Linked DNA regions of Alligator mississippiensis. The protein of the gene in region 4 purifies or fractionates together with the protein of the main gene of each other region. This does not show direct contact. Links are inferred from orthologs where the notes say so. Each region holds a gene or a part of one and is shown on either strand. Other genes may lie near its edges.

Region 1 (7,534 bases), on a different chromosome or scaffold from region 4:
GCACTAATACATTGGTCCCATATCAGATTGGCACTGATATAAGGAAAAAAAAGTGACAGTAAAGGCAACTGGCTTTTTTTGGCTGATGTGCTCAAAAACATGGCCAATAAATGCCCTGTGCAGGCGCAGCACACAGGTGGCAAGGAGTGCAGCTGGGTTTGGCTGGTAAGTCTGTTGTGAGTGAAGGGGGAGAGAGCATTGAGGGGGACGGGGAAGATAGAGGCCCCAGCAGTGAGGAATGGAGAGGATTGGGTCGGGGCAGGTGCCGCCCAGCTAGGGTGAGGTGTGGGATGGAGCCATGAGCGGCTCGTCATGGGGGCACAAGGTGGCTCCCGCTGCTGCACACACCCCAGAAGGGCACAGGGGGTGAGTGTGGGCTGTGTCAGGCTCTTCCCAGTGAGGGGGAGATTGAGCCGGGCTGCCCAACCTAGCCCGCTGCTGGGAAAAGCCCAGTGTCACCCCAGCCCCAGGCTCCCCTCACCCCATGTGCAGATCCAAGGGCATACCTCCCCCATGCCCTCCTGGAGTACGTACAGTGGCGGAAGCCACCTTCCCCCCACCCCGTCCCCACACATCCCAGACAAGCCGCTCCCGGCTCCATCCTGCACCCCACCCCGGCAGTGCAGTGCCTGCCCTTGCCCCAGCCCCTTTTTTTCTTCCTCACCACAGGGGCCCAACTGCCCCCCCCCCCCAATGCCCCTTCCCCCACAACAGACTTACCAGCTGGACGCTGCTCTCCATGCTGCCTGGCTGAATGTTGGAATCAGTCAATATGGCTCGCTAAAAATCAGTCATCAGTATTGGCTCAAAAATCTCTATCCGTGCACCCCTACTGAAAACAGTGCTCAGGCTTATTCTTGATGGACAGCTGCCCACAAATGCAGCAGTTTCTGACTGGTTCCAAGTCTCACTCACCTGGTACTTTGGTGCATTATTGCACTGTGGGAAGCTGCCATTTACCTCTCCATTATGTAGCAAGTTATTGTCCACCAGGTTCCAACCCCAGCTCTGGTCGTCACTGCCCAGCAGCGCCACGTAACCCTGACATTGCATGGGAGCCCGTTTTGTGGCAATTCCAATTACAGCTACCGTGCCAAGAGGGCCTTCCCACCAAACCTCCCATGCATGACGACCCTCACTGAAGCCAATCTTGGTCCTTGCCCCATCGGTGCTCTGAGCAATGGGGTTCCGGTGCAAAGTAAACCCATTCTTCTTGATGTAGACGTTCCTGGAGCAGTCATTGGTGCTGAAAGCATGATGAAAGGCACGTACCTAAGACAAGAGAGAGAGAGAGAGAGAGAAGAGAATTTTTGGACTGGAGAGAACAAACCATGAATGCAATTGTTTCATTAACATCCTGCAGCACATTTGTACTCAGTTTCAAGCAATAGTTTTTTAAAAAGCATGGTTGCATGTGATGACACAAGAAAGTAGAGAAGATGGGTTTGCTACCCAAAGCCTCTAGATACAAAACAAGCCAGAGAACCAGAGTGCACCTGGACTTCTGAGATCAGGAGCAGCTGAGCTGAGGGACAGAGAAGGCAGGCTAGAGATGCAAATTACAGATCAAGGCTAGGAACAGACGTTGCATTTGTCCCTGGACAAGTCGTACCTGTGTTTCTCCCAAAACAGAAATATCTAAGCACTGTATGTACATGCATCACCCTTTTAATAAAGGTTTAGGGAACAGCCAAATGTACCACTGTTCTTCTGCCATTGATTCCACAATGCAACTCCCAGGACAATTGTTCAGACACACTTGGCAATATCCTGGGATAAACTATTACTACTTCTCATCCCGTGAACCTTTTTAAGGATTTGTCATGGACAGACATCTGAACACTGGACTTTGTCCCAGGATAAAACAGGTTATCCTGGGATACATGCGACATCTGTCTGCAGCCTAACCAAATCAGAGAGGTGTACACTCCTGTGAGCCAATGCTCACATCATCTGCAAGCACCAGATGGGCGATGAGGACGAAGGGACACATTACATGGCAACCCCATTGAGGGCTGGGAAAACACCAGAGTCTACATGTCACAACTTGCCAGCTATTGCTAGGTCCCCTCCAAAAGTCTTGAAGTGACACCACTTAAGGCAAAGGCTAACTCTGGGCCATGCTCCCCAGCTCCAGTTAAGGTCGGCTCTACAGATACAAAGCAAGCAGGCTACTGGCCTCCAGCATCCCAGGATGCACTGCTCCCAGCACCCCCCCACTCACAGCAGGGATAGAGCCCAGGGGCCAGGCACCTGGGCATGCTCCTGCTCACCTGTCCCATAGCAGCCAGTCAGAGCTGTGCCAGCATGGAGCTGGGTGCGGGGGCTCACCTGGCCCTCATCTGCTACCAATAAGTGCCCTCCAAGCATCTCGAAGCAGCGCCACTTGAGGCAAAGGCCTCGCAGTTCCTGTTAGGGCCCCTTCAGTCTGCCCCAGAGACAGGAGCAGGCTGCCACCCCCAGCATCCCAGGGTGCACTGCTCCCAGCACCCCCACAAACCCAGAGCAGGGCTGGTGCCGGTGAAAGCCAGGGTGCCTGGGCTCACCTTGCCCCTGCCGGCTATTGCAGGTGCCCCACCAGCGTCTCCAAGTGACTCCACTTGCGGCGAGGGCCACCCCTGGGCGCGCTGCCCGGCCGGCCCCGCTGGGGGCCGCTGCAGCCTGCTCCAGGGAGCCGGGCGGGGGCTGCCCCGCTGCCACCCCGAGGCGGGAGCGCCGGGCGCCGCTCACCTTGCCCTTGTAGGTGGGCACGTTGCAGAGCACGTCGGTGCGCAGCGCCTCCTCGGCCAGGCAGCGCGCGGCCAGGCTGCGCCACACCTCGCTGTTCTCGTCGCCGTGCAGGACGCGGTGCCACAGCTTGCAGACCAGCGCGCAGCTGCGCAGCTCCCGCAGCTCCAGGTAGGAGAACACTAGCTCCAGCACCCGCCCCGGCAGCCGCCAGCCCGCGCCGCCCGCCGCCGCCATGGCCGGCGCCGGCCCCTCCCCCACCTCCGGGCGGCGCCAGCAGCCCCCGCCCGCTCCGCCCGGCGGCAAAGTGCGGGCGGAAGCGAGCCCCACGCCAGCCACGGAGAAGCTGCCTCTCACTGCCAGCACGACTCCGAGAGCGGCGGGCCAGCCATGCCGTGACGCCTCCCCCTGCCCCCGGCCCCAGGCCCCGCTGTCATTGCTTGGGCGGGAGGAGAGAGGCGAGGATGCGGGCCGCCATTTTACTTGAGGGCACAGCTGTCAGAGGAAGCCGGGCGCGCATGCGCAGCAGGGAACGCGCGGGTGGTAATGCAAGGGAGAAAAAAAGCCCTCCCTTCCCGGGTTACGTCATCAAACTGCGCCGGAAGAGACGCGAGGATGCCGAGTTGTTGGTGTGGTTGGAGGTAATTCCTCCCCTTTGTTGTCCGGCGCGGGGGACCCAAGATCTCTGCGAAGGAGGGGAAAAGCTAAGGCCCCGCTTTGGTCTGCGCGGTTGTGCCCGTGCCGTGGCCGCGCGGGCGGGGGGTCCTTACGGACAGAGGCGAAGGGAATACAGCTTCGAGTTCGTGTTTCCCGCGCGGCTCCTGCCCCCCTGCGGCCTTGGCCGGTCGGAGGTGCGGGAGGCGCTGGGGCGGGGCCGCCCAACGGGCTTCGACGCTCGTTCCCACCCGTTGTGCAGCCCCCGCGCGACGCCGCCGGCCCCGAGCTGGGAAGAATCGAAGCACCGCTCCTGGGGCTATGGGCAGCGACCCCCGCCCTGCCCACGGGCAGGTGGCGCCTCCTGTCCTGCCCAAGCACTCCCGGGCCGACGGGAGTGGGGAGGAGCTAGCTGCCAACCCACCCCATGGGCGCTGCAGCCTCAGTCATGCAGCCGCCTGCTTCTTGGCAGAACGTCTCGCCCTTGAAGCAAAGGAGAGAGCGGAGGAAGGGAAAGGAGAGGAATCCCAGCCCGCTCTCCCCTGTGGAAAGACCGGTGATGTCTGTGGGATGGGTCTTGAGTCCAGTCCTGAAGCCGCTGATGAGCCGCAATAGCGGTTGTTCTCACATCTGGGAATTGCGGACAACATTGTTAGTTGCTAAGCCACCTGATTTAGCTTTCCCTGGTAGGGGGCTTCTCTGCAGAACCAGGTGAAGCTGATGGTGTGGATCAGGGGTAGGCAACCTCTGGCACATGTGCCACATGGCATATGAAGCCATTTTATTTGGCACGCATGCCCCAGGGCAAGGATTGCACTGCCACAATAAGGATCAGGCCCCTTGCAGCTCTCCCACCATTCACACAAGCACGCCAACATCTTACAAGTCAAGGTTGCAGGTATTTTTGCCACTCAGGCCAAAAATGTTGCCAGCCCCTCATGTAGATTGAGGATGATTTAAAAAAAAAAAAAAAAAGAAAAGAAAGGAAAAGAAACTTGATTACAATCAGTCTGCCTCCTGAATCACTCTTCTTGTTCCAAATAGCAAAGACTCTCACACTGCAGTGAGTCAAATACTGGTGATCTAGTGACTGTATAGTCAAAGGAATTCGTTAAGGCTTCAGGTTGTAGCTGTCACCTCCTCTGGCCTGGACTGACTGTTCAGGTCAGAGAGGAGCAACTGCTAGGACACCTCCACTGTTTTTTTCCACCAAGGCAGGGGAGAGCAACTGATGCCAGAGCCATCCTGCCACTGAATGTTTCTGAAGCCCCACGTCTGCAGATCTCATTAAATGGCTCTGTGGGCAGGAGCTGGCCCATGGGCTGTAGGTTGCCAACCCCTAATCTAGATAGCTGCACAAGGTGGTGTAGTTCAACAATTTGTATACAAGCACTTCTAACAATGTACCATTCCACTGTTCTAAGGAGTCAGTATTGTAAGCATACAGACTGGTGTGCTTGCACTCAAACTTGCACAAGTGCCCATTTTACCTTGGACTAGCAGCTCACATGCTCATGTTATTTCATCAGCAACCCAGTAGTCTTACATACTTTGATAAGCTTTCTACTGTAATAGGAAAAACTGCCTAACTCTGTCCTTCTTTCACAGAATCCCTTGAAGCATCATGGCAGTCAAGTGGACCGATGGACATTCCTCTTCTATACTGTGCTTGAATGTGAACAAAGAAGGGCTGATAGCTTCGGGAGCAGAGGCAGGCGAGCTTGCTATCTGGAATGAGGAAGGGATTCCATTGGGACAGATACAGCTTCAGAAAGCAGATGATATCACCTGTGTAACATTCTCTCCCACCTGCCCAAGTAGGCTATACACATCTCATGGGGAAACCATTAGCTTGCTGGATGTCAGGTGCCTTAAGGGGCCTATTGAATGCTTCCACGTAAATGAGGAAGAGATCAATTGCCTTTCTGTGAATGACACAGACAGTGTCCTGGCTGCAGCTGATGACTCTGGGGCAATCAAGATTATAGACTTGGAAAACAAGAAAGTCAGCCGGTCCCTCAGGAGACATTCAAATATCTGCTCCTCTGTTGCGTTTCGACCTCAGAGGCCTCAAAGTCTTGTGTCATGTGGACTAGACATGAAGGTGATTTGTATGGAAGTAGATGGATGATTGCTAGATTTTTAAATACTGGCTGAATGGTATGCAATTAGATATTCATTCTACCTCACTCCTTTCTCTTACTCTAGGGTGGTAAGAGTAATTTCTGGTTCTTTAGCAATCTTAATGTGGTTGTATCATGATGGAAGTTCCACTGATGTAAAGGATTGCCCTTTATGGTCAGGGCTTTCAGGATCAAACCCTTATTTTAGAGGTCTATTTTAAGGCTATCTGTGAACAAATAGTGCCCCTGAAATTAGCAATAGCTATCATGGAAAAGGGGACAACTATTTTGTTTGCATTTTGCTGAGTTTGGTAAGAAAATTAAATGACAGTTTAGAACAGCCATAGGGAAATGTATAGTTTGGGTGTCAATGCATTTTAGCTTATGGAAATGAACAGCATGCAACAACTAAGCCCCTCATGGACCACAGTTTGAGATTCCTAGTCCAGTGATTCTCAACTTGGGGTGTTACAGCAGCCTAAGGTGCCTTGAAATACTTTCAAGGGTGCTACAGGGTGCCACACAGGTGTTCAACCATGATTCACAAGATAGGACCCTGTAGTGTCAAAAACATTCTCATCTGTGGTTTCTCTGAGTTCTTCCTAATGGAAGAATTGCCCCAGTATTTTTCTGTAGTCAAAAAAACAAATAAAAATTAAGAGCTGGCATTTTACAAGGGGTGCCCCTAGTCTAGTTAGGGGTGCCACAAGCCAGGGTGGGGGTGCCTTGAATCTAAAAAGGTTGAGAACCATTTTTCTAGTCTAATGTAGAAGTTCTGTCTATTGGAGTTCATAGATATTGATGTGCTGTTTATTAATGACAAAATAATGGGTTTGATAAAGACAGTTCATCAGTGGTGCAGTGATGAGCCTGAGAGATTGAGTTTAATGCTTTCAGTTCTGCTAGACTGAGAATAGTAAATACCATATGCAGACATTAGAGCAGTAGCCAAAGCCAACTATTGCATTAGTTCTGTTGGATGGCTCATAGGGAATACTTATTGGTTGTGGAGGGAGTCAGAGCTCTCATGTGGAAGCATATTTGTTGTTATGGGGCTTTTTCTGGTGGTGCTGTGTTTAAAGAGAAAAAAAAGCAACACACTTAAAAAAAAAAAATGATCTCACACCACACTTGCCTGCGGGTATCATCCCTTACCATATTACCATAATATACAGTGTTTTGGTAGTGACTGTATGGAAACTTAAGAACACCTCATGCTTTCAGTAAACAGTGTGTGAAATATGAGTTGTTCGCTGTGTGATTGATCATGGAAACCATGTAGCTAAAGTCCTTGTGTGTGGTTTTGCAAGTTGTGCTTCAAGGGTCTAATGCCAGTTAAAAATAACTTGTTTTCTCTCTCTTACTCAGCTTGCCTAGTGAAGCTACATGCACCTATTGTCAGTTCCATTTAATTCTCATGCACTAGCGCAAAGCTACAAAGGATGTAAATGAAATGGGGATATTTGTTTTTTTCTTCAACACACTGAAATTAATATGAAAAAACTTGTATTACTGGATTTTGTAAAGTAGTGAGAGACTGAAATGCTCTTTTCCATTATTCCATTATTTCACATATTCAGTGTGCTGTACAAAAAATCAGCACCCCTGTGAAATAGGCATTATCCCCATGTCAGAGAGAAAAGCAAATGAAATAGGGTACCAAAAGCCAAGAAAGTAAGCACAAACTGAATTAAAATTTTAAAATGACTCTCAATCCTATTGTTGGTCACCATTAAAACTTTCTTTCAGTTGCACAGTTTATAAGCAAGATGTTCAGTGTGTCATGGCTGCTGCTCCCCAGATGATTACTAAAGCATGAGTGATTTCTTCATCACTTTCACACCCTAAAAAGCAAAATGTTTAGCTATCCTAAAGCAAGACTGTTTCATTAGATGCAGAAAATTCTGTTTACTAAGGATGTTTTAATTAGCAGCTGACCTTCACCAGCTGTTTTGGAAGAGATGCAGGATCTGTGCAATCTGAATGCAGTCTGACATGCAAGAGGAATTTAGTGTGTAATCTTACAGAAA
Region 2 (7,100 bases), on a different chromosome or scaffold from region 4:
TACAGAACTGTTTGTCCTGGCACATATCTACAATGTCATCCCCCCCCCCCATACCCATCATTAACTCATGTACAAAACCTGGCTTTAACTTCTAAATTTACCTTTTCATTTGAAATTGGACCTGGCAAGTACATGAGGAAGAGTCAGTTAAAACATTCCAGGCTCTACCCGTGGAGAAGAGAACAGAGATCACAAGAACTGGAAGTATACATTTCAGCTGTGGCAGGCCAGTAGGGGGTGCTCCTGCGCCGAGCCACCCACCTCACTGCACCCAACCACCTTCCAGGCTCTGGGTGCCTCCCTGAGGGTGTCTCACGTCTGGCCGACCCCCTTCCTGGAGCATACCCGCTAGCCTGGGGGTAGAACTGCCACCACCCAGGGATGGGCTCGATTCAGGCTCTGCGCACTCTGGGAAACACAGGCCTAGTAGCCCGCGAGGGTACTTGACTCACTTCAAGAGCTTGGGGTGCTTCCCTCAGTCAGAAGCACAAGTAGTGGTCTCCCTTAGTCAGCCGAACCAAGGGGACCCCACAGCATAATCCAGACCCACTCCCAATAAGTGTCCCACACTAGGTACAAAGGAGAACTTTATTGGTTACAAGGGGTAGGGTTGGAATAGGGCACAGAGTTGAGTAGTATCAGAGAAATCCCATAGAGCAAACTCCTGTGGCCGGGGTAGCCTTTGATCTCGCATCCGAGTTACTGCAAGCTATACATCTAGTTAGATCTCAGGTAGCTTACAAGTATCATCCAGAGGCAGGTGGAGATTCCCTCTGGAGGCAGGCAGTTCCTTGATCATGAGTTTTGAGAGAGAGAGAACGAGCGAGCAAGTTTTAGATGGTCCAGCTCCTCTCTCTCTCCGAGTTTTCCTCATGGCTGCTGCCCTTCCTCCTAGGCAGTCCTTAACTTATATAGCCCTTGTGACCTCATTTACCTGGTCCAATGGAGGCCAGCACCTGTTGCCTGTCAGCCAACTAATGTGAAATGCATCACTAGTTGCTGGGCAGACTGGCAGGCTCTAGCTCACCAGGATGCCCAGGCCCTCACCCAGGTATGTGGTGCCAGTCACGTAGGCAGAGGGAGCAGGTTTCCACCCCTCCCTCAGGAATGTATCCATCTCAGGTTACCTAAAGAGATAGGGTAAGGTGTATATCCTCTGCTGGGCCCATCCTAACCAAATTGTCACAGAGCAGAGGTTTTGGGTAGAAACAGGAGGTGGCCTTCTGCCACATCAGCCACCGTTCATGCCCCAGGTTTGTGGTGAAAAGGGGTCAGAAGCCATAGGGAGGCACAACAGCCCTTCTTCAGAGCCACTCTCCAGAGTAACCACTAGGGAGGTACCAAAAGAGAATTTTTAGGCTGATACCGATGACCAATTTTTAACAGGCCATATCGGCCAATACTGATCCGATTCTCATATGCAGCCAGGCAGCATGGAGAGCAGCACCTGGCTGGTAAGTCTGTTGTGGGGGAAGAGGCAAGGGGGGAGCAAAGGGGTATGGGGGGCAGATTGAGGCCCCCACAATGAGGGAGGGAGTGGGGCTGGGGCAGGTGCTGCACAGCTGAGGCAGAGCAGGCGAGCACCCCAGGATGGCACAGGGGGGCGTGTGCTCCTGGATCTGCACACAGGGAGTGGGCAGGCTGCCACTATGGGCTGGGGCCAAGGCAGCCTTGGGGTCTGGGCCAGGCCGCATTCAGAGTGGGCAGTGGTGGCACTGGGAGGGGGCTCTGGGGTGGGGCTGCAGCCACCACAAAATTCACTGTAGCCCGCCCCCCAGGCACCGCTCCCAGCGTCGCCGCGGTCTGCCCCGAGTGCAGCCCAGCCCAGCCCCTCAAGGCTGCCCCAGCCCCAGCCCATAGTGGCAGCCTGCCTACTCACTGTGCACAAATCTGGGGGCACATGCCCCCATGCCCTCCCAGAGTGCACGCAGCAGCAGGACCTGCCCCCCCCACCTGGATGGGCTGCTCACGGCTCCACTCCACCCCAGCTGTGCAGCCCCTACCCCACTCCCTCCCTCACTGTAGGGGCCTCGATCTGCCCCCTCTCCCCCACAACAGACTTACCAGCCAGACCCGGCTGCTCTCCACGCTGCTGGACTGAGCTCTGGGCTGCCTGCGTGCTGCGCTGCAGCTGTGTGCGTGCACAGGGCATTTAATCGGTGGCATTATTGGCCACATCAGCCAAAAAAAGCCAATTGCCAATACTGTCAATTTTCCTTATATCAGTGCCAATCCGATATGGGACCGATGTATCGGTGCACTTCTAGTAAGCACTCAAATATCACATTCACTTCCTTAAAGTTTCAGCGCATAGTAATTTGTTTGTGAAGTGTAATCTGGGGCAGATCTGGAGGGGGTGGGGTGCTCTGGTGCCTGTTGCTTCCTGCTCCACCCGAAGTTTAAAACCAACTAACTGCCTGGCAGTGGCTGCAGCATTTCTAGGGAGACAAATAACTTCATAGCTCATTATAATCTACCCCGATCCCTACTAAAGTCCTCATTGCACAGTGTTAACCACCCTCTCTTTTTTATAGTCTTGATGTGCCACTACTGGAGCTAGCCTTCATCCTGCCATGCTGCTGCCCGTTTGCTGCTCCTGGTCCCGAAGCTCCTATTCCGCAGCCCTGCGGACTGTTTTTAACTCACTGCAATGGAATTATATTTGTTTTTGCTTCCGCCTTAAACCGAACAACCCAGCCCCAGGCCCCCACAGCCTATGAAGAAAGCTCCTAGCTCATCACGAACAGGAGAAAGACACGCGTGACATTACACGTGCACCACCAGCCCAATCTGGAATGGGGTTCCCAGGGAGGTGGTGCTCTCCCCTACCCTGGGGGTCTTCAAGAGGAGACCGGACAAGCACCTTGCCGGGGTCGTCTGACAGCAGCGCTCTTTCCTGCCCAGGGCAGGGGGTCGGACTCTGACCTACCAAGGTCCCTTCCGACCCACGCATCATGAACCTGCATCCCCGTTCAAAAGTCCCAACCCACCCACGTGTACAAGACGGCAGAGGCCGTGGCTTTAGGACAGCAGCAGACATGGAGGAGAGGCCGTCAGACCCCCCCCCCGAGCCGGCGAACGCCGCGAGCAGCCATCAGGACTCCTGCTGGTCCCAGGCCGGCACCCGCAATCCCCAGTCCTTACCGCCGGTGTAGAGGAAGGAGCTGGAGAGCCCGCCGAAGTAGATGAGGGCCAGGTGCTCCAGCCGCAGCGGGGACAAGAAGTAGAGGCCGGCGGCGCAGACGCAGCCCAGCGTGTAGAGGACGACGCCGAAGCGCACCACGTCGCGCGGCTCCAGGAGATGGTCCACCAGCGTGCGGTCGTCGCTCTTCTTGTGGTCGATGCCCTTGGAGAAGTCATAGTAGGTGTTCACCAGGTTGCCGGCCCCGTGCACGGCCAGCACGGCGCCGGCGCTGCCCACCAGGCGCGCGGGGTCCAGGGCGGCCTGGGCACGGTAGGCCAGGGCGCTGCCCAGCGCCACGGGCGTCAGCGAGGCGCTGAAGCTCCAGGGCCGCAGCGCCAGCACGTAGGCGGCGCACTTCTGCCTCCAGCCGCCCGGCGGGCCCCGCTCCGCGCCCGCCTCGCTCAGCTCCGCGCCGCCGCCGATGCTGATCCCCTCAGCGGGCTCCGCGGCGGCGGCAGAGGGGGGGGCCGGCAGGGGGCCCCGGCGGGGCGGTGCGGCGGGAGGCCGCATGGGGCTCAGCCTCACGGGGCGCGAAACCCGCCGCGCGCAGCACGGGTCATTACGGTAACGGCGCCCTTGGTCGGCCGCAGGCGGGGGGACACTTTCAGCAACGCACCCGGAAGCAGAGGGACGGGTGTCCCGCCCTGGCGTCCCCCGGCGGCTTCCTGCTTCCGCCTGGCCACCTTCCCCGGTAGGGGTGGGAGTGCGGCATTCTAGCCAATCACGCTGCTTCCGGCTCGCCACTGGCGGAGCCCCGTGTCAATCGGACCGCTTTTTTTTTTTTTTTTTTTTTTTTTGCTCCCGGATTGGTCAGCCCAGCTAGCCGGCTTGGGGGGCGGGGCTGCGCTCCCCTAGGAACCCCGCCTTCCTCCCCACTCCATTGGCGGCGGTGGCTGCCACTCCGATCTGCCTGGGCGCTGATTGGGTGGGTGCTGCTCGCCGGCCCGGCGGGTGGAGCCGGGGCCCGAGCGAGGGAGCCGGCGAGGAGGCGGTGAGTGCCCTCCTCCCCCTCCGCGGTCACCTGGCGACGCCCCGCGGCGCGGGGCCCTGTCATGCCGGCGGCTGGCGCTGCAAGGCTCCGGGCCCGGGTCTGTGCGGGAGCCCGTCCCCGCCGGTGCCAACGCCGCGGTTTTGTGTCCCAAGGCCCCGCTGCGCGGGACGCCCTGAGCCGCCCCCGCCGCCATGTCGGGCACCGTGTCCATCCTTCAGCAGTTCGCCAACGGCCTGAAGAGCCGCAGCGAGGAGACGCGGGCCAAAGCGGCCAAGGACTTGCAGCACTATGTCACCATGGAGCTGCGCGAGGTGTGGCGGCTCGCGGGGTCTGGGAGGCCCGGGACGGGGGTGGCGGGCGGGCGGGCGGGGCAGGGGAGGGGCAGGGAGAAGAAGCCGCCGCCTGTTTGGATCCTGGGAGGCCCCGGCATCGTTGCTGCCCGGGGGCGGCTCCGCCTGGGCCTGAACTCTCTTTCCTGCGCAGATGAGCCAGGAGGAGTCGACCCGCTTCTATGACCAGCTGAATCACCACATATTTGAGCTGGTCTCCAGCTCCGACACCAACGAGAAGAAGGGGGGCATCCTGGCGATAGGTGAGCGCAGGGATTCGGTGTCTCTGGGAGATTCGCTCTCCACTTCCCCGTGACGCAAACAAGCTGAAGACCTGGTGTCTCCACGCTGAGCGCTTGAGAACGTGGTCCTGCGTTGTTACGAAAATACGGGCCGCGATGCTCAGCTGCGTTAAGTGAGCATGGTGTGCAAATAGTCTGCGCTCCCTGTGGCCTGAGAGCAATAATCGTACCCGTTAAAACCCTTCGCTCGGTGGCAGCAGGGCCCACCTCCAAGGAGCTTTTGCATTTATTCCCGGTAGCATCTCCCCTGATTATTGCCCTGTTGAGCTTTTGTTCTTGTGTGGCAGAGCAGCCTAAACTTTGCAACTCCTGGGGATACAGATCAGGGGTTCCTGACCTTTTTATGCTGTGGACCGGTAAGCCACAGACCAGCAGTGATCGGCGTACTGCGGGCCAGCAGCCAACCCTTTCTTATCCTCGGTATAAAAACGGGTTGGTTGCCGGTCCACAGTATGCCGGTCACTTCGGGACTTCCAGTCTGGCAGCCAACCCTCCTGCGGACCAGCAACCAACCCTTCGCAGCCCGGGGGTTGGGAGCCCATGATACAGATAGATAACTCGTGTGAAAACAGTCCCTTCCAAATGGATCCCTCATTTCTGCACCATTTGCTTTTTAATAACTCCATAAAGCTTCTGGATTGAGTTAAGCATCATAACCAAACCAACCCCGGTGTGCTTAGAGATGATGGAGGTCGTTGAGGTGGAGTGATCTTTGTCAATGACATCTCACTTTAGGCAGACAGCATTACTTTAAAGTTACTTCTGTGACCTTAGTACTGGTGGAAGGTGCCAGCTTGACAACCCTGGATACTGATGGCTCCTCTCTGCTGCCACGCTGCCCCTGCCAATGTTCCTTAAGCCAGGCCTTGAGAGACCACCTCTTGAAAGAGTACAGTCTCCTCCATTCAGTCCTGGGTCCATTGTAGCCGTATATAGATGGAGGTGTGTTGGAATGGATCTGTGTTCCCAGGGTGGATCTTTATAAAGTAATACAAGGAAAATCTGACTTATGGAACCTTTTTGATGCATTTCTCTGTTTTACATAACAGATCCAAGCTTGGGAAGAATGCTGACCTTTCCTGCTGCTTAATGTTTCTGGTGGATTTGCAGTTTAGGAAGCGTTAGCAGGAATCTCTCCAGGCTGCCTAGAAAGAACTCTCTTCCAGGGATTTTGCTACTGTTTGCCACACTAACCCACTGGCAGGACTTAACCCATGCTCTCTTTCTCCCCAGCAAGTCTTATTGGTGTTGAGGGAGGCAATGCCACCCGCATCGGCAGGTTTGCCAACTACCTTCGGAACCTGCTCCCCTCCAATGACCCTGTTGTCATGGAGATGGCGTCCAAGGCTATCGGGCGCCTTGCCATGACGGGAGACACCTTCACAGCAGAATATGTGGAGTTTGAAGTGAAACGGGCTCTGGAGTGGCTGGGAGCTGATAGGAATGAAGGTCGAAGGCATGCGGCAGTAAGTGCTCTTCTGGCTTCTCAGCCTTCCTGGGAACAGGCTCATGAGTAGCAGTGATGAGAACTGTGCGAGGAAGGATGCAATGAGTGGGGAGAGGGTTGGAGGGAAGTCCTAGCTGGGGAGTGGAATGGCTATTCTTCCATTTCTGAAGAGCTACAGGATGGGCTAGTTGGTCTGCTGTTAATGGTATTTGTTCTGGTAGTGCTTAGGAACCGAGACTCAGATGCTCCTGTGCCAGGCACTGTAGAAACCCAGCAGCATGCTTCCCAAAGCTTACAGTATAACTAGGCAAGACAAATCAAGCATGTGGAAGTTTTCTTCTAAATTCCCACCTCTCCCTGACACCACCATTTTCCTTCCTGTCTCCAGGTTCTCGTCCTGCGTGAACTGGCCATCAGCGTGCCTACCTTCTTTTTCCAGCAAGTGCAGCCATTCTTTGATAATATCTTTGTGGCTGTATGGGACCCCAAACAGGCCATCCGAGAGGGAGCTGTCTCTGCCTTACGTGCCTGCCTCATCCTCACCACCCAGCGGGAGCCAAAAGAGATGCAGAAGCCCCAGTGGTACAGAGTAAGGAAGGAGTTCCTTCCACTTTAAATAGCTTTCTTCTCTGTGTCAGCACACAAGATCTGGCCTAAGCTAAGGCGGTTAGGTGTTGGCTCCTCTCAGTCATGATTAAAAATATTCTGGCCTTGGGATCAACCAGTAGAAAAGGAACGGGTCGCATACACCGAAGTTTTATTGTGCTTTTTGCAACTTGTTGCCAGCCCTTTGATTTAGTCTATCCTAGCAATCAGACTGTTCTCAACAGAGCAGGTGATCAGACTG
Region 3 (7,518 bases), about 200 Mb from region 4:
TAATTTTGAACCACATATATGGAAATTAGTAACTTTTAAACATAACTGCATTGAGTATTATTGACTGATACGTTTGTATATTCCTGGGGGGAATATCATAGCTAGCAAAAGCAATCAAATGAAATTCAATCTAGCTCAGAACCGTTTTAATTTGCACTAAAAATTATGGTAGAATGTTCAAGGCTTTTTTGTTTCATTTTGAAGTTCTATTTTAATGGAAAACAATCTTGTTCATTATTCTAGTTAATTGTCACTTTTCATGAATAGATTATGAAGCAATTGTGAAGCTTTCAGATGGCTTTAATGGAGCAGATTTAAGAAATGTCTGTACTGAAGCAGGTAAGGAAGAGGCTCTTAGCTTATTTGTCTCTCTATTTGATGTGCTGAGTCTGGGCACAGATATTAAACATTCATGACCTGTTTGTCTGATCTGATTCTAGCACTACAGGCAAACGAGATTCTGAAACATTCTTTCATGATCATGTTCACTGATGTGAAGCTAGTTCATTCTTGTACATGACAGTGCTGATTAAACTTGCGATCCACCTATGTTTACAGTTATCAAACTTGGTTAATATGATAGTCCTTAGTGTTTGCAGTACTATGAAATTAACTATTAAAAGAAAAAATGTTTGATACTTGGAACAGTAGTAGTTTGGTATTGTCTAGACTCCCGATAAGAGACCCATATGTTCCCATGAAGTTTAGGTATAGAGAGAAGTTTCCTGAAACTAGGTGGAACATGTCTGAAAAAGGTTAAAGAGAATCTGTTTTTAATTTCTTTACGACTCAGAGTTATTTCAGTCATGCCAAAAATGTGACTCTTTAGAATCTTCTCCGTGGTGTTCATGTTTTCTCCACTTCAGGCTTGTCTACATGGGGAAAATGGAGTTCTACAACTAATGTTATGAATAATTATTCTGCTATAATTGTATTCTGTCAGTATTGCTCCTATGCAGAAACATTATTCCAGAATAAATGTTCTGTTTCAAAACTTATGCTCGAGTTGGATGCATTAGAACACCAGTTGGTTACTCACTGAATCTACATACAGATTATGCAATACAACTTTGGTCCTTTCTGTGTGTTAATAACATAGTGCTAATAACTTTTTAAAACGACTGTTCTGCATTAGGCAGGCAAGGTTCCTTTGGTAGATGTGATATCTTCTCTTTGACCAACTGAGTAGTTGGAACGTTCTTTGCAAGCTTTTCAGCACAAGTACCCTTCTTCAGGCATAGGGAGACTTGTTGTTCTGAGATCTCCGAGGAACGAAAGAATGTGCTGTATTATTGTTGCAAGTCACAGTAATTCTATAGATATCTCACAATTCCTCAAATTCTTTTCCGCAGGTATGTTTGCAATTCGTGCTGATCATGATTTTGTAGTTCAGGAAGACTTCATGAAGGCTGTAAGGAAAGTGGCTGACTCTAAGAAGCTGGAGTCAAAGCTGGACTACAAACCTGTTTAACTTAATCATACACTTCATAATTGACTGCATGGGAAATATCAGTGTATAAAAGGAGAGAAATAACGTACCTCTTGGCTATGATCTTATTGCAGGTTTCTGTATAACACAGTAAGTTAGTAGTGTGTTTTCTGTACAGTTCTGAAACGTAACTTTTGTTGCAGCGCAAGTTAAGTAAGGAGATGTTCTACTAAAAATTACTGTGTGACTGTATAAACATACCTACATAGTTTAACTTTAGCAGATTTTAAGAAAGTCAGTGCAATCTTGACTTATTTTATATCAGTACATTTTCCTTTCCCAGAACAAATGAATAAAATTTTGTTTAAAGTAACTCTGTCCTTCCTATGTACCTCCTCTATACTTCTTATCAGAAAAATCAAATAACAGCTCTTTGGGCACATAAAGTGCAGCTTTTCTCTGCAAGTGATCATGTCTGTCCCCATATAAGTATGGTTTTTTTTTAACAACCTATGCAAAAATCACTAGAGGTCAATTCATCAGATGTAACATACCAAGAAACAGATCAAGAAATGTAATTTGCTATTTTATTGTGTAGCAATTTCATGCTGCCTGGTCATGCAGAACAGGAATAGATACTATGTTAGTATTTCACTGCTGAAAAATGGGGGGAAAGTACTCATTAGAACTAAAACTTAATTTATCACTTAATTATCTACTTAATGTTTATAGCCTGATTTCAGTCCGCAGAACTGGTTACAAATGTCCATATGTGCTCAGGGGAAAGTGCCAGAATACCACACCAAAAAGATAACACATGTAGTCAAAAGCCATTTTAATAACAAAGAAAATATTACAGTCTTTCAAAAAACATTGGACTCAGTTTCCTGTCAATCTGATCAAATATTAATTTCTAAAATATGCCAGATGGAAAGGTGTGTTCAGTACTCCTTCAAGGCCTGAATACTGGTCTGTAGTGCGTTGCTGGAGTGTAACTGAGGCCAGAATTTGGCCTAGTGCCTGTTGTCGCCACATAAACTAGAAAATGGCTACTGCAGTGGCTAACTTAAGTTATTCTTCAAACACAATAAAATAGTTCTGACTTGGAAACCAAGGTGTTCTTCCTCTTCGGGCTATGTGTCACGCTGCATTGATGTTTAAATTCTTCCTGCACCTGGAAACATGTTTGCTATGGCTTGCATTTTAACTGTACCTAAAGGTTAAAAGGAAGCATTCCAGAAGCAATGTTTGGGTGAATTTTTTATTTTTTTTATGTGTAGACCCTATTTATTGCTACTTCTAACTGTTCCAACTGGATTATTCTCTGCAGGTTCAGCTAACAAGCAAGTGTGTTTTTAGCTAGTTCTAGAAATTACCAAAAGCCACCCTATATTATTTCTGTCTTAACAATGCAGTAATTTGGAATGAATTATAGTGATGCCTCTGTTAGTTCTACAAAGGAATTCCCAGTTGAAACAGTATTACAGTGCACAGGCAATTTTTTTTCTGTAGTGTACAAGCCAAAGGTTGTCATTTTACCAAAATAAAAAGGGCATGCATGTTCATCAATGTAGGAGGAAGAAACAGGCTATTCACCTGGTGTATATTGTCAGGGGTGTGAAATGTGAATTTCAGTCATAGGGTTTCCCCATAAAATCACTTTAAATAGGGCTAAAAATCAGTATGCATTATTAACTACTACTGTTGCAGAAGCTGTGTTCTGTGTTCAGTGTAATAAAGATTTAGAAAGTTCAGTAATATTGAATGTTACTAGACAGTTGAATGTATTAAAATTGTGTTGAATGTACTGCATTAATTTGGAGACAGCAAACGGAGGAACTGACTCCTGTCTCCTTACGAAGAGTTGTCTGCCTCTTGCAGGTTAGGGGTCTCTGCAGCCGTAAGAGACCGGGTAAGATGCTATGATCCCTAGTGACTTCCTGCCCCCGGGGCCGGGGGGCCGGACTCGCTCTTCCGAGGTCCCTTCCAGCCCTAATGTCTATGAAATCGATGTGGAAGTAATGGATTCAAGTTGCAGCAAGGGAGCTGTAGGTTGTACATGAGGAAGAATTTTTCTAAGTATGAGGAACGTATTACCAAAGCTGTGGACATTTGGTCAGTGGGCCACAGTGCAGGGTAGATGGACCTCTTGCCTGGGACGGTTTATACTGTGATTGATGCTCCTGCCTCAAAAAGGGGGTTGGGCTTGATCGGTGTTTCCTGGGCGGGTCGCGCACAACCCAAAAGCGGGTCGCAAGAATTTGCAAAAGGGTTGCGAACAAACTTTTAAAAGTGGATTTTCCCTTAAAGGAGAACATGGGAAACCGTAGCCTTTCCCTTAGCTTTCCGTGCCCCACATGTACTCGGGGCCTGAGGGCGAGAGGCACTGGGTCGGGACCCACCATCGATGTTCCCACATGGGTCGAGAGCCGCCGGGTTACGCGAGCCCCCGAGGGCCCTTCCAGCTCTAGTTTTCCCAAGACCCCGAGCAGCGGACAAGGGTTTTGTTGCGCAAAGCAGTCGAGAAAAACGGAACAAAGCTCTGCCTTGCCCAAAGAGCTTGCAATCCAAGACGAGATAAATGGATACCAACATTTCTGGGCAACGGATTCACAGAGACCGCCTGGACCAGCGTGTTACAGCTGCCAAGACACGCGAATTTGAGACGTGTGGATGCGCAGCAAGGGCTGCGGGTGAGACGGGAACGGCCTGGATGCGAGCCCTATAGACGGGGAGGAGCCACCCCTCGGTGCCAGCCGGGCCAGAGCGGGGGACGTCCGTCGCCATCGGAGCGCGGCTTGAGCTCGAGACGGGAGCCGGTCTTCCGTGAGAGGAAGGCCCGGCCCCAGAGAAGTGGACAGCAAGGCGGAAGCTAGGCGTGCGGCAAGGCCGGAGGCACCATCATCCCGCGCAACCCAGCCGAGCACGTGGCCGCACGCAGCGCACCGCCGCTTCCGGGCGAGGCCCCGCCCCTCGCCCGTGACGCTACGGCCCCGCCCCTTCCCAGCGGGCTGGCGCGGCGGTTGCGGGGGGCGTGGCCGGAACGGCGGTTGCGGGGGGCGTGGCCGGCGCGGCGGGCGCGAGGCGGGGGGGAAGCAGCATGGCGGCCGGGCGCGCGGCGCCTCCCCCGGGCCCGCTGCCCGCATAGCCGCCCCCGGCCATGGAGCTGGCCCGGCCCGCCTTCCCCGCGCTGCCGCGGCCCCGCGACGACTCCGAGGTGAGTGGGCCCCCCCGTGGGTTCCCTGGGGGGTTCCCCCCCCCTTGTCACGCAGGCAAGTGCCGGCTGTCCGCGCTCCAGGGCCGAGCCCGGTGGCGCTCCTCGGCCGCGTGTGTGACAGCGCCCGCGCCCTCCCTCCCTGTGCAGTGCTGAGCACTTCACCGCTGGTCGCTTGGCTGCGCCGCGCGGCACTGCTTGTTGCGCTGCGTCGCGCCCGCCGGACGCTCGTGAATGGGTTTGCACCTGAACTCAAGGTATACGCTGTGGTTCTGGCCCCCCGCCGCGCGGCTGTCTGCTGAAAGCCGTCCCGCCTCGAGCGCGCTCGCTCGCTCGCTCGCCGCACGCTCGTCACTGGCACGGTTTTCAAAACCGACATCGCTCCCCGTGTCACCGCTGCGCAGTGAAAACCCCACATCCTAAATCCTTTTTTCTCCTCGCTCCTTCTCTTCACTTTTTCCGTGCGTGCGGTGCCGACGGGAAGGAAACGCCCGAGCTGCAGAGAAGCGTTCAGGAGCAGGGTCCAGAATGACTTGTTAGACCGAAAGACACCATTTCTGTCCGTCCTGTTTTACTAAGCTTAGTTTTCTTTTTACCAAACTTTGTATTTTTGTGCTTGACTAAAGCATCCTTTCAGCGCCCCGTTTGCAGGAGGGCCGAGGGGCCGCGGTATGTGGACTTAACGCTCGTTTTAAAAACATTTCAAGCGAATAAGTTGAGGAACAAACCTAAAACCCCTAAGTTGGCGTGCAGACCGGTGTGCACGGGATGTGTTAGAAATCGGTGAATTGAGAAAAATGGAGAGTGGCTCGGTGGCAGCGGAGATGTCACCTTTTGTGCAGCGCTGTGAGAAGGCAGAGTAGCGCGGAGCTGAGATTCCCGTATCCTGGGCATCTTGGGGTGGATTGAGGGACTTCAAAGGAGTGTCCTGTTTGGGGAAAGGATGCTTTCCTCAAATTCCTGTTTCGGATAGGCAGTCAGGACTTGCAGTACTACGGTGCCGTGTGGCTGCAGCCTGGATACCCGTTTCTGGTAGGAGCACCAGGATCGTCCCTTGTGGTCGCAGTGGATCCTGCCTTCTGCAAAGTGAAAGCGTCGCCCTTTCATTTCTCTGAGCCAGGTAGTCTTCGAGAGTGCTGTAAAAACGAGCAGGCCAAGTTTCTGGTCAGGTTACTTTTTGTTTGGGGCGGTTGTCAGAGATCCAAGAAACCCTTCTTTAAGGCCAACTGTTATGGCTGCTGACCTTGGCTAGAGGTATTTTCGCTGGGAGCAATTCACTGCCCCCTTTAATCAGCCGTGAGGGTTATATTAGAAGATAAAAGGGACACGGTTACCGGCTGAGAAGAGGAAAGGGATTGAGCGTGCCTGAGTTTGCTGTCTTGTCAGAAATCAATGGACTGGAGCTCCTAATTGGCTTTTCCAGGTGAGCAGTAAAGCTCGCTTTTAGTGAAATAGCTCTCATTTTCTAATTTAAATTAGTGTTCATGCAAATGAGGAGCTAAATCCCCATCTTGAGGTAGGCATAGTACAGAGAGGTGCTCTGCACGCTTCTGCCGGTGGGTGTCAGCCCGGGTGTGCATCGCCACCCCGTTCCACCCGGGTACACGGACAGCGGTCGCACCCAGTGGTGCAGCTTTGTGACTTGAGCTAATAGGGTCTTGCGTGAAACCACCTTTGCCGTTTTCACTTGTAATCTGATTAACATTTGAACCAGTCTTTCCAGTTGATCATGCTGCTACGTGGGTTCCTCAACAGGAAGTATTTTTCTTTATTGTGTACACTGTAATGCGCAGTGATGTATATGCCACAGTTTAGTAGGTATATCTAGTAGGTGTGCTGGATGCATGGGAGCAATAATCAGCATTTCTTCATTTGTATTGATGTATAATGTAACATGTCAACGGTTTCTGAATAATATTGATTATACATGCTCCAAAATGATTTTTAGAATTAAACTCAACGCTTTTTAAAAAATAATAAAACAAGTATTTAGCCTAGATCCTGTAATATTTTTTATCGCATTCTGTTAAAATATCAGAAGGTCCATAAAAGGAAAAATTGAGCTAGCAATCACTTATGCTTACTTACCTTAAAGGAATATTGACTAGTAGCTTAGGTCAGAAGTTTGTCCTGCCTTAAATGTGATACTTATTGCTCTAAATTTTGAGCACTTACTATATCTTACTCAATTTTGAGCACTTACTTAATCCTTCTGTTCAGATACTGAGGAGCTAAATAAAATAGTCGTAATTTAGGGGTGTAAAAATAATTTTTCTTTTTGGCTGGGCAAAAGCTCTCCCTTGCTTCAGTCCAATCAGCATTTTTCGATGTCATTTGTTTTTTTTTTTTTGTTGGGTTTTGTTGTTGTTTTTTTTTGCTGAAAGAAAAGTAACCACTTCTGAAGCTTGTCACCTTTAATGAAAGCTGATCAGTGGAAATGAAGGGCTGGGTTAGGCATGATTCAGAAAAATGGGGTGGAGGCAGAGGAGGACTCCGTTATCCCTTTTGCTCAGTTCCTTCCTCTGGGTGTGTCTACACCAGCTGTTTACTGCATTGTTGACTAATTAACTGCAGTAAATGTTTCAGCATCTACATGTGCACCCCTGTTAGGGCACACAAAACGAATAAACTCTGCATCAGGCTAGCACTTGCAAATACAAGCACTGCCCTGCTGCGGGTTCTTCCGTGTGCAATGGTGCACGTGTAGACATCGACCTGGATGACTGGGGCACAAAGGTGCTTATAGTGCAGGAGCTGCCTGGTGGCTAGCCTGGCGCTGAAGAGCCCTCACGCCCCAGCCAGCCCTTCCGCAGCGCGATGAGCCCAGTTGGAGCGTGGCAGGCTGACCTCCCCCAGGCTCCCTGCCAGCCGGGGC
Region 4 (7,597 bases):
AAGGATTTGGTTTTGATATCAGGTATGCTAATGGTGTATATGCAAAATCAGTTCAGAGTTGCATGGTCTTAAGAGCAAGAGTCAACAAGCTCAAGTATCAGACTAATTACAGTCCAGATACTTCAGACAAGTCATGTGTTATTTCAAGTTTCTTTTATAAAGCCAGACTGGCAACAGTGCCCCTCTGTGTAAAGAGGATGGTAGGCCCAAAAGGAGTCCTCCTGTACCCTACATTTTCTGACATTCTATTTAGAAGAATGAACATGTAAACACTATCCCCCCCCAAAAAAAACAGTGAGTGTCTGCCATGGGTAATGTAAAATTTGACTACCCAAGAAGAAATGCAAGTTATTTTCAGTTTGGGGAGGAAGGAAATAGTTTGTAATAGCTACCATGAATGGAGCTCAATTTTTTTTTATAAGATGTTTAAGTATTTTTCTCTCAGTTTGGGTTTCTACCCAACAACAATGTAATAATGAATAAGATGAGACTCACTGGTCACACTGAGAACAAAGAGGGTAATGCAAATATAAAAAAATAGCGTTATTCCATTTTAAACAGCAAATATGAATTGCTTTCACAAGGTGATCTATACTGAACACCTACAATACTGTAAAAATGGCTCTAACAGGTAGGAACATAACTTTTTTAGTATACAAAGAACAGTGGCTATTGCAAAATGGAAGGGGAACAGCAACAGGAAGGGAAAAATACATTTAATTTGGAGTCAAGATGTGACAAAAAGCTACTGTGTTAAGAGAACGGTGAAATATTATGGTCAGATTGAAATATCCCACACTGCTTTTTCTAAACATATATAAATTAAATGTGGCAAGATGCCACCTATCCCTATGGATGCCAGGAATGGCAGGGAATTGGAGTGGTAAAGTGAGTTCAAGTTCCTCAGTGCTCACAGAAGCAAGGAATGTTATGAAGGCAACACTCAATGCACTGCATATGGGATGCACAGGAGTGTTGTACGCATACTCCTGTTCAAGAAAGCGCTGCCTGTCTCAAGCTGATTGACTTGAAAGGATTTTTAAAGTTTCAGGTACCTTTTCTACTTCTTCCTGCCTAACCACTTTGGAGGTTATACAATCTATTTCAAAGTCTGGTTCTACAAGCTTGGCGTGCAATTAACACGTGTAATCTGGTTGTCTCTGCATACGTTATTGCCCTTTAAATCATAAGAGTCTGAAAACAAACAGAACCACCCAAGGAGAAAAAAGAAATCAATGGGATTTAGATTCCAACTCCTTCCCAGTGAAAAAATGGCTATAAACAAACTTGGGAAACTGACTCTACCTGCTGCCAAATGTATGCAGCAAACATACGGGCAGGAGACAGGGAACAAGGTCTTTCAATTAAAATATTCCTAGCTGATACCAGAATTTAGATAGAAGTGTGTCAACTGTTGACCTTCTATGCCATTCATTGAAAATATCAAGCAAGGGGAAATTACCTAGCTAGAGTTTGCTATCATACTTTTCTAGATTTCTGTATGGAAAAAATACTCATAATGAAAATTATACAAACTCCCGCACTACATCAGAGCCAATACTTCTGAAGTGCCTACCATGTAAATCAAAGCGCTAGAACCACACTTAATTTGGCCACAACCTTACAACACACCCAGCGCGCACAAACCAAACGCTCAAATGTAAAACGCAACCTGCAAAGATTTTAAATTATTCAGAGCCTGTGTGGTGGGATAACGCCTGACTGCTGTAACTCGCCAACAGCTGCTGGCCAAGGATGCTACAGCAATTGTCCTCAACTTTTTTAAAAACTTGAGGCACCTCTCAGTAAGACTAGAAGCCCCTCTCAGAAAATGCCAGCTCTTAGCTTTCCCTTGGTTTTCTGGCAACAGAAAAAGACTAAAGCTGAGAACCCAGAAAGCCTGAACGGGCAAAGCATTTGTAATGCTCCGAATGCCTGTTTGAAATCTCTGAAGCCATCACGTGCATCATGAGTGCACGCCTCGCCATGCTAGCACCATGTGGCACCTTGGTAAAGATCTCCAGGCGCCCCAAGGTGCTGCAGCACCTGATTGAGAAATGTTACTGTCAGACTGAACTAACCCACGCTGCTTTTTCTGAAGATGCATAAATTAAGCATGGCAAGATGCCACCTATCCCCATGGGTGCTCGGATCAGCAGGGAAGGGGGCGATGATTTGAGTTCAAGTTCCTTGGTCCTCCCAGAAACAAGGAAAGTTACGAAGGCAACACTCAACTCCCCGCATCAGGGCGGCACAGAAGCATTGCCCACACGCTCCTAGGCAGAAAGCACCGAGGGCCAGGCTTTCCCATTGCCCATACGCTCCTAGGCAGGAAAGCACTGCCCGTCTGGAGCCGGTTTGACCTCAAAGGATTTCAGAAGCCCCCCAGCCCAGGCCACCTCCGCACCCCCAGCTCAGGCAACCCATGGAAGAGCCACCGCTGGCTCCGGCAGGGGACAGGGGTCTTTCCCTGAGAGGGGCCGAGCCAAGAGGGGGCTGGCACTCCCCCGCCCCGCGGGCCACGAGGGGGCCGGCCCCGCGGCTGGCTGCGAAGGGGCAGCTCTTTGTTGCCTCGACAAAGACCCGGGACAGCCGGCCCCGACGGCGGGGCGGGGCGCTGCCCCCAACGGCCCCGCCGCACCCACGTGCTCCCCCGCGCCCGGCGTTTACTCACGTCAGGGGCCGCGCGGCTGCTTCCTTCGCCGTGGCGGGGCCGCGGGAGCCTCCCCCCGCCGGGCCGGGGCCGGGGGCGCGGGGTGCCCCGGCGGGGAGGGGGGGGCCTTCACATGGAGCCGCCGCCGGGCCGGACCGGGCAGGAGGAGGCGGCGGCGGGGCCGGGCCGCGGCCCCCGCTCATGCACGCTGAGGCGGGCGGAGGCGCGGGGCGCTGCTAGGGGCCCCGCGGGGCCCCGGGGGCGGCCGGGCGAGGCACCGCCGCCGCGCCGCGCTCTGGCATGGGTGAGCCGCGGCGCGGGGCAAGCCCCGGGGGGAGGCTCCGGCGGGGGTGGGGACGGCAGGGAGAGCTGGTTGCTGGGGGGGAGGGGGAAGGGAGCCGCGGCGCACGGAGATGACAGCTGGTCACTATGGCAACAGGCCACACCCCCGGCCGGGGGCGCGGGTCGATGACGTCAGGGAGGGGGGAAGCGCCGCCGGCGGGGTTGGTTCAGGCCGGGACAAAGGGGCGGTGACGAAGGAAGCGGAGCCCCGCCCTCGCCGAGTAGAAGCAGTGGGCGGGGCTTGGGCTTTGAATGCTGCTACGGCACTGGGTTGCCGCTGTGATTGACTGAGGGGCAAGTCGTCTCGTGACGCGGAGCAGGGCTGCTCCCTAGAGGCAGGCATAATGGCTTAGCGCCCTGTCCCGCCCCCCGGGGGTCTTTACAGGGGTCGGGGCGGCGGGGGTCTCCGGGTCGCGGTGCGCGCCGCAGAGCGGGGGAAGGGGAAAGGAGGGGGCAGCAGGACGGGCTTTGCGAGGGGCAAGCGGGACCGCTGCTCGTGGGCAGGAGAATGCTGTAAGAGGTTGCCTTCTACTCCCGCCCTTGGCTCCCCCTTCACCTGCTCTTGGAAACGCAAGCCAAATCTGCTCCCTAGTTTATAATGGGGAGCGGCCAACCTGCAGCATACTGCCAGCCGCCGGAGGCATGGGCAGCCTGTGCGTGCAGCAGACCCCGGAGGGGACAGGGAACCCAGCGACAGATTAGCAGGGAGCAGAGCACTATATGGAGGAGAAAGCAGAGCAGCAGAAAGCAGGGCAGCAGGTGAGGCAGGGAGCAGAAAGCAGAGCACCCCCATAGGCAAGGGAAAGGCGCGGGGGTTAGAGTGGTACTCAAGGAGTGGTGGGGCCAGTTTGCACACCTGCCAAAAAGGAAGTGTGGCCCCCAGTGCTTGATGCAGTGGAACAGGCTGGTAGTTGCCACTCTTGGTAATGCCCTGGTCTGGCGTGTCACTAAATGGGAGATGCCAGGCAACTGTCTTTCACAATTGCCACTGGAAGCCTGTGGTGCTGGTGTTATGTTTTTTGTCAATGGAAGCATCCAGCTCGCTACTAATCAGCAACAGAAAAGAAAAAGGGGAAAGAAGATTATTTCATCCGTGCCCTCTACAGAACCATACAGCAGTTCCTTTTAACCCAGAATTTCAGCTCTGCTCATAAAGCACATTGATATCAACCTCCCTTTCCTCTGCAATTGTGGTGAAAACATTTGGTTTCCTACCACAAGTTTTTACCATCAACAGTCAACATCAGATCACAGAGGAAACAAGTACTGCTGGTCTCCCACCCTAGCTTGGGTTGCTTCAGAGACTGAAAAAGCACCCTTGTCATCTTCTCATGCCAGCAGGATAGCTATTGGCAACTAGGCCTTGGCTGACTTAGGCTGCAATGTTTCTGGAAAGTCATTTTGGGTTATATGCTGTGTCTGTCTCTAGTTTTTAGGGTCCTAAAGAAAAGTTCTTTTGAGAGCTCCAGGTGCTCTTTGTAGACAGAAGATGGAAAGCAGGACCAGTGCCTGAATCCTCTTGCTTTTATGTCCAACATAATTGTGTTTACTGTGTATCTACATAAGTATGCTTCTTTTAAATTTAAATCTCGTATTCTCTCGTGCTTCTACATCAGTCTAAATGCTATGCAATTGCTCTTATTTTGAAATCACTAGTGAAATTAACAAGAACTTTAACCACATGTAAGGGGAAAAAAAAGTACCAATGATTATAGAGGTTAAATGTTAGCCAATGCATTTTCAAACCTGTCATCTCCTTGCTTTTTCATCTGAATTTTTCTAAAACAGGGATGCAAGTATCAGCATTATGAACTAGGAGTCCTAACCACTGGCCTGCGTACCAAATATGGCCTACAGAGCCATCTCATCTGGCCCATGGGACTCCCCATAGGTCCAGAAATTTGGCAGCAAGAGAGAGATGGCCACCCTGCCCCCTGCCAAATTCCCCAAACCCAAGCCTCTCATGTCTGGTCAGAGCCCAGGTGTACCCCTGGTATTCCATACTCCCTCCCCCCACTTCTAGGTTGAGCTGGGCCACACACACCCCTGGGGCCAGGTTGGGGCAAGGCATGGTTACTTCCACCCGGGCTGGGTTTGGGCCTAGTCAGGGCCCCTCCCTTAGTGCTAGGCTAAGGCTGGGCCACACTTCCTCCCCCAGTGGGGCCAAATCAAGCTTCTTTCTCCTGCAGGGGTGAGTTGGAGCCAACCTGCCCCTTCCATCTCCTCCATGTAGCTGAATGGTGCCTGCCATGCCTGCCTTGGGCACTGGATCAGGACTACTGGCCAGACCTGGCCCACAGTCAAACTAGGTGCTGCCCATCCAGGCTGCAGGGAGAAAAGGTTGAGCACCACAGAAGTTTCTTCTGTTTTCTTAGACTTCTCCTTTTGTGGGATGACAATGCACTGCAGTGCCATGCAGAAACACCTGAGCTTTCTTGTCCAGTTAATACAACCCAGTCTCTACTGGAATACCTAATCTATACATTTTAGGCTTGCATTTGCTTTGTTCATAGCTGTAACTACAAGCTGTTAGTGGCTTGTAGTTATCCTGTGATTAACTTGCACATACAGGAATTCAGATGGCTTCCATTTATCAAGAAGGGTCCTCGTTCTATGAATATCTTCCAATGATCAAATATGGCCAAACCTTCGTACAGCACCAGTCCCTCTCTCATGCGCTCTAGCTTCTCAAGTGGCACATCTCTACTTTTCAGGCTATTCATCTTTGTCTTGGTCTCCGTGTTCAATTAGCCCTAGTTCCCACTCTCTTCAGGTGCCAGCTTCCCTTCCCATTCCCACTCCCGTGATGAGTCTCAGCAAGAATCTGGCGGTGTCATTTTCCCTGACAGGTGTACAAATGTCTTACTGCCATCAGGATAATTTTCAGTCTTGGGTCCACGTCCCATATCCTTGCCTGTGGTGGACTGCACTGGTGACTTACCTGTCAATTTTTCTTCATATGTATTTGTTCTATATTAAGCATTTCAGTTTTCTCCTACTTGAACAGAGTACATCTCTAGGAGTGTCCCCAGGGTACAACTTACGTAAAAATTTAGATAACAGTCCCATGCAAAACAGCACCAGTTCATGGCTTGGATAAAGGGAGAGGGTTGGTCAGTGGACCAAGACTTAGGCCTTTAAAACACCGCTTGCTTTGACATACAGAGACAGGGATGTACTGCTTTGTTTTTTTATAAGCTATTCCAATGGCAGCCAAGAGCTTCACAAACATTAATACATTTATCTTCTCAAAACTTGTGTGAGATACCGGAGTTGTTATTATCCTCATTTTACAGATGAGGAGCTGAGGCAGAGAGATGGGTAAAAACGCTCACTAATTTTGGGTGCCTAATCTAAAATGCTGGTTGTTCAGAGAACTTGGCATTATATATCACTTTATATACTCCAAAACAGTGACCTATTGAGTTCAAATGTAGAAGCCAGTGCTCAGCACTGCAAGTCAGGCCCATCCAGCTCAGAAAATGAGGGATGCATAATTACTAACCATCTATAATAAGTTTGGTTTGAGTTACTTCTTCAAAAAGAAAGTACTTTACAAAGGATCTCTGTAGTAGAAGCATGGCTAAAATATTCTCTGGGGTAGTTTTCTTTCTTAACTACAAGAAGCTATTTTTTCTTCCTCCAATCCCAACTCTCTCTCCTTGTCAGATCTGTTTCTTCTCCACTATTACACTCCCCCTAGTCCTAGTCTTTTAGCCAAGCCAGACCCTTGGCACTTCATCTGATCACAGTTTCACTTCAGGCTTTTGTTCTCCCTTAATTTTCCTCACCAGTTTCTCCCTTGCCTACTAGACTCCTCTATGTTCTAAAGGATAGCATCAGACAATCTTAATAATAGGCAGGGTCACTAAGCTTGGATAAAAATAGATCTAAAAGCCATTAAATTCAAATGTAGAAGGTAAAAAGGTAAAAAGTATAGAAATGCAGCACTAAGATACTCCACACAGTCTTAAATCCATCCTCATATCTCTACTATCCCATGCAGCCTCCATAAAAAAGTAGATGTCTTTAGCTGAAGTGTTTCTTCCCCAGGCAGTGAAATGTTAAGCCCAGGAAAACTTGGCTATTCTTCCAGGAACTTTACCATCCAAGGGCATTTAAAACCCTGCATATTTTGTCTGCAGCTGTGAAGACCATAAACCACAATGGTCACAGTGGTTTATAATTACAATGTTTTAGGGATTAAATTATCCAAAATCCAGAGGGATCCTGCATACAGTATTAAAATATCCAGGGCCTGATCTGAGGGAAACACTAGGAAGATACAAGAGCAGTTGGTTAGGTCTCCAGGATGTGCAGTAAGGTATTGGCTATGCCTTGTCTTAATAATAGTATCCAGCTTTCACAAGTGGTTCTCAAAGTACTTGACAAAGGAGGTCAGTATCCTGATCACCATTTTACAGATGGGAAAACTGAGACACAGAGATAAACTGGCTTCCACACAGAGCTTCTCCAGCATCAGAGGCAGCACAGCCTGGCTTAATTGCCTAGCTGGCCAAACCTGCCAGAGGCTGTATCTGAGAGCCCTCCTACAACTGAGTAACCAGTTGGTCACTGTTAAGGCTTCCTGACTGGCAGCTA

The links.
Region 1: the proteins of FBXW7 (region 4) and FBXO45 purify together in Homo sapiens (affinity purification with mass spectrometry; 4 studies listed by BioGRID and IntAct, counting the BioPlex papers as one, with this or other methods). This does not show direct contact. The link is inferred for Alligator mississippiensis from reciprocal best matches to the Homo sapiens genes FBXW7 and FBXO45.
Region 2: the proteins of FBXW7 (region 4) and MTOR purify together in Homo sapiens (affinity purification with western blotting; 9 studies listed by BioGRID and IntAct, with this or other methods). This does not show direct contact. The link is inferred for Alligator mississippiensis from reciprocal best matches to the Homo sapiens genes FBXW7 and MTOR.
Region 3: the proteins of FBXW7 (region 4) and STYX purify together in Homo sapiens (affinity purification with western blotting; 4 studies listed by BioGRID and IntAct, with this or other methods). This does not show direct contact. The link is inferred for Alligator mississippiensis from reciprocal best matches to the Homo sapiens genes FBXW7 and STYX.

Annotation. Positions count from the first base shown.
Region 1 is NC_081830.1:36,875,627-36,883,160, forward strand, and holds the start of FBXO45 (F-box/SPRY domain-containing protein 1), read right to left. Parts: upstream 3,018-7,534; 5' UTR 2,965-3,017; coding exon 2,731-2,964; intron 1,273-2,730; coding exon 916-1,272; intron 1-915. Other genes in the region: WDR53 (WD repeat-containing protein 53), read left to right, coding at 5,006-5,485. UniProt on the Homo sapiens protein: Component of E3 ubiquitin ligase complex consisting of FBXO45, MYCBP2 and SKP1. Functions in substrate recognition but also plays an important role in assembly of the complex.
Region 2 is NC_081836.1:12,052,134-12,059,233, reverse strand, and holds the start of MTOR (serine/threonine-protein kinase mTOR), read left to right. Parts: upstream 1-4,098; 5' UTR 4,099-4,175; intron 4,176-4,204; exon of another isoform or gene 4,205-4,327; 5' UTR 4,328-4,366; coding exon 4,367-4,486; intron 4,487-4,658; coding exon 4,659-4,767; intron 4,768-6,039; coding exon 6,040-6,272; intron 6,273-6,641; coding exon 6,642-6,842; intron 6,843-7,100. Other genes in the region: UBIAD1 (ubiA prenyltransferase domain-containing protein 1), read right to left, coding at 3,145-3,694. UniProt on the Homo sapiens protein: Serine/threonine protein kinase which is a central regulator of cellular metabolism, growth and survival in response to hormones, growth factors, nutrients, energy and stress signals.
Region 3 is NC_081825.1:300,614,916-300,622,433, reverse strand, and holds the start of STYX (serine/threonine/tyrosine-interacting protein), read left to right. Parts: upstream 1-4,507; 5' UTR 4,508-4,589; coding exon 4,590-4,646; intron 4,647-7,518. Other genes in the region: PSMC6 (26S proteasome regulatory subunit 10B), read left to right, coding at 268-339, 1,353-1,471. UniProt on the Homo sapiens protein: Catalytically inactive phosphatase. Acts as a nuclear anchor for MAPK1/MAPK3 (ERK1/ERK2). Modulates cell-fate decisions and cell migration by spatiotemporal regulation of MAPK1/MAPK3 (ERK1/ERK2).
Region 4 is NC_081825.1:96,225,162-96,232,758, reverse strand, and holds the start of FBXW7 (F-box/WD repeat-containing protein 7), read right to left. Parts: upstream 3,017-7,597; 5' UTR 2,675-3,016; intron 1-2,674. UniProt on the Homo sapiens protein: Substrate recognition component of a SCF (SKP1-CUL1-F-box protein) E3 ubiquitin-protein ligase complex which mediates the ubiquitination and subsequent proteasomal degradation of target proteins.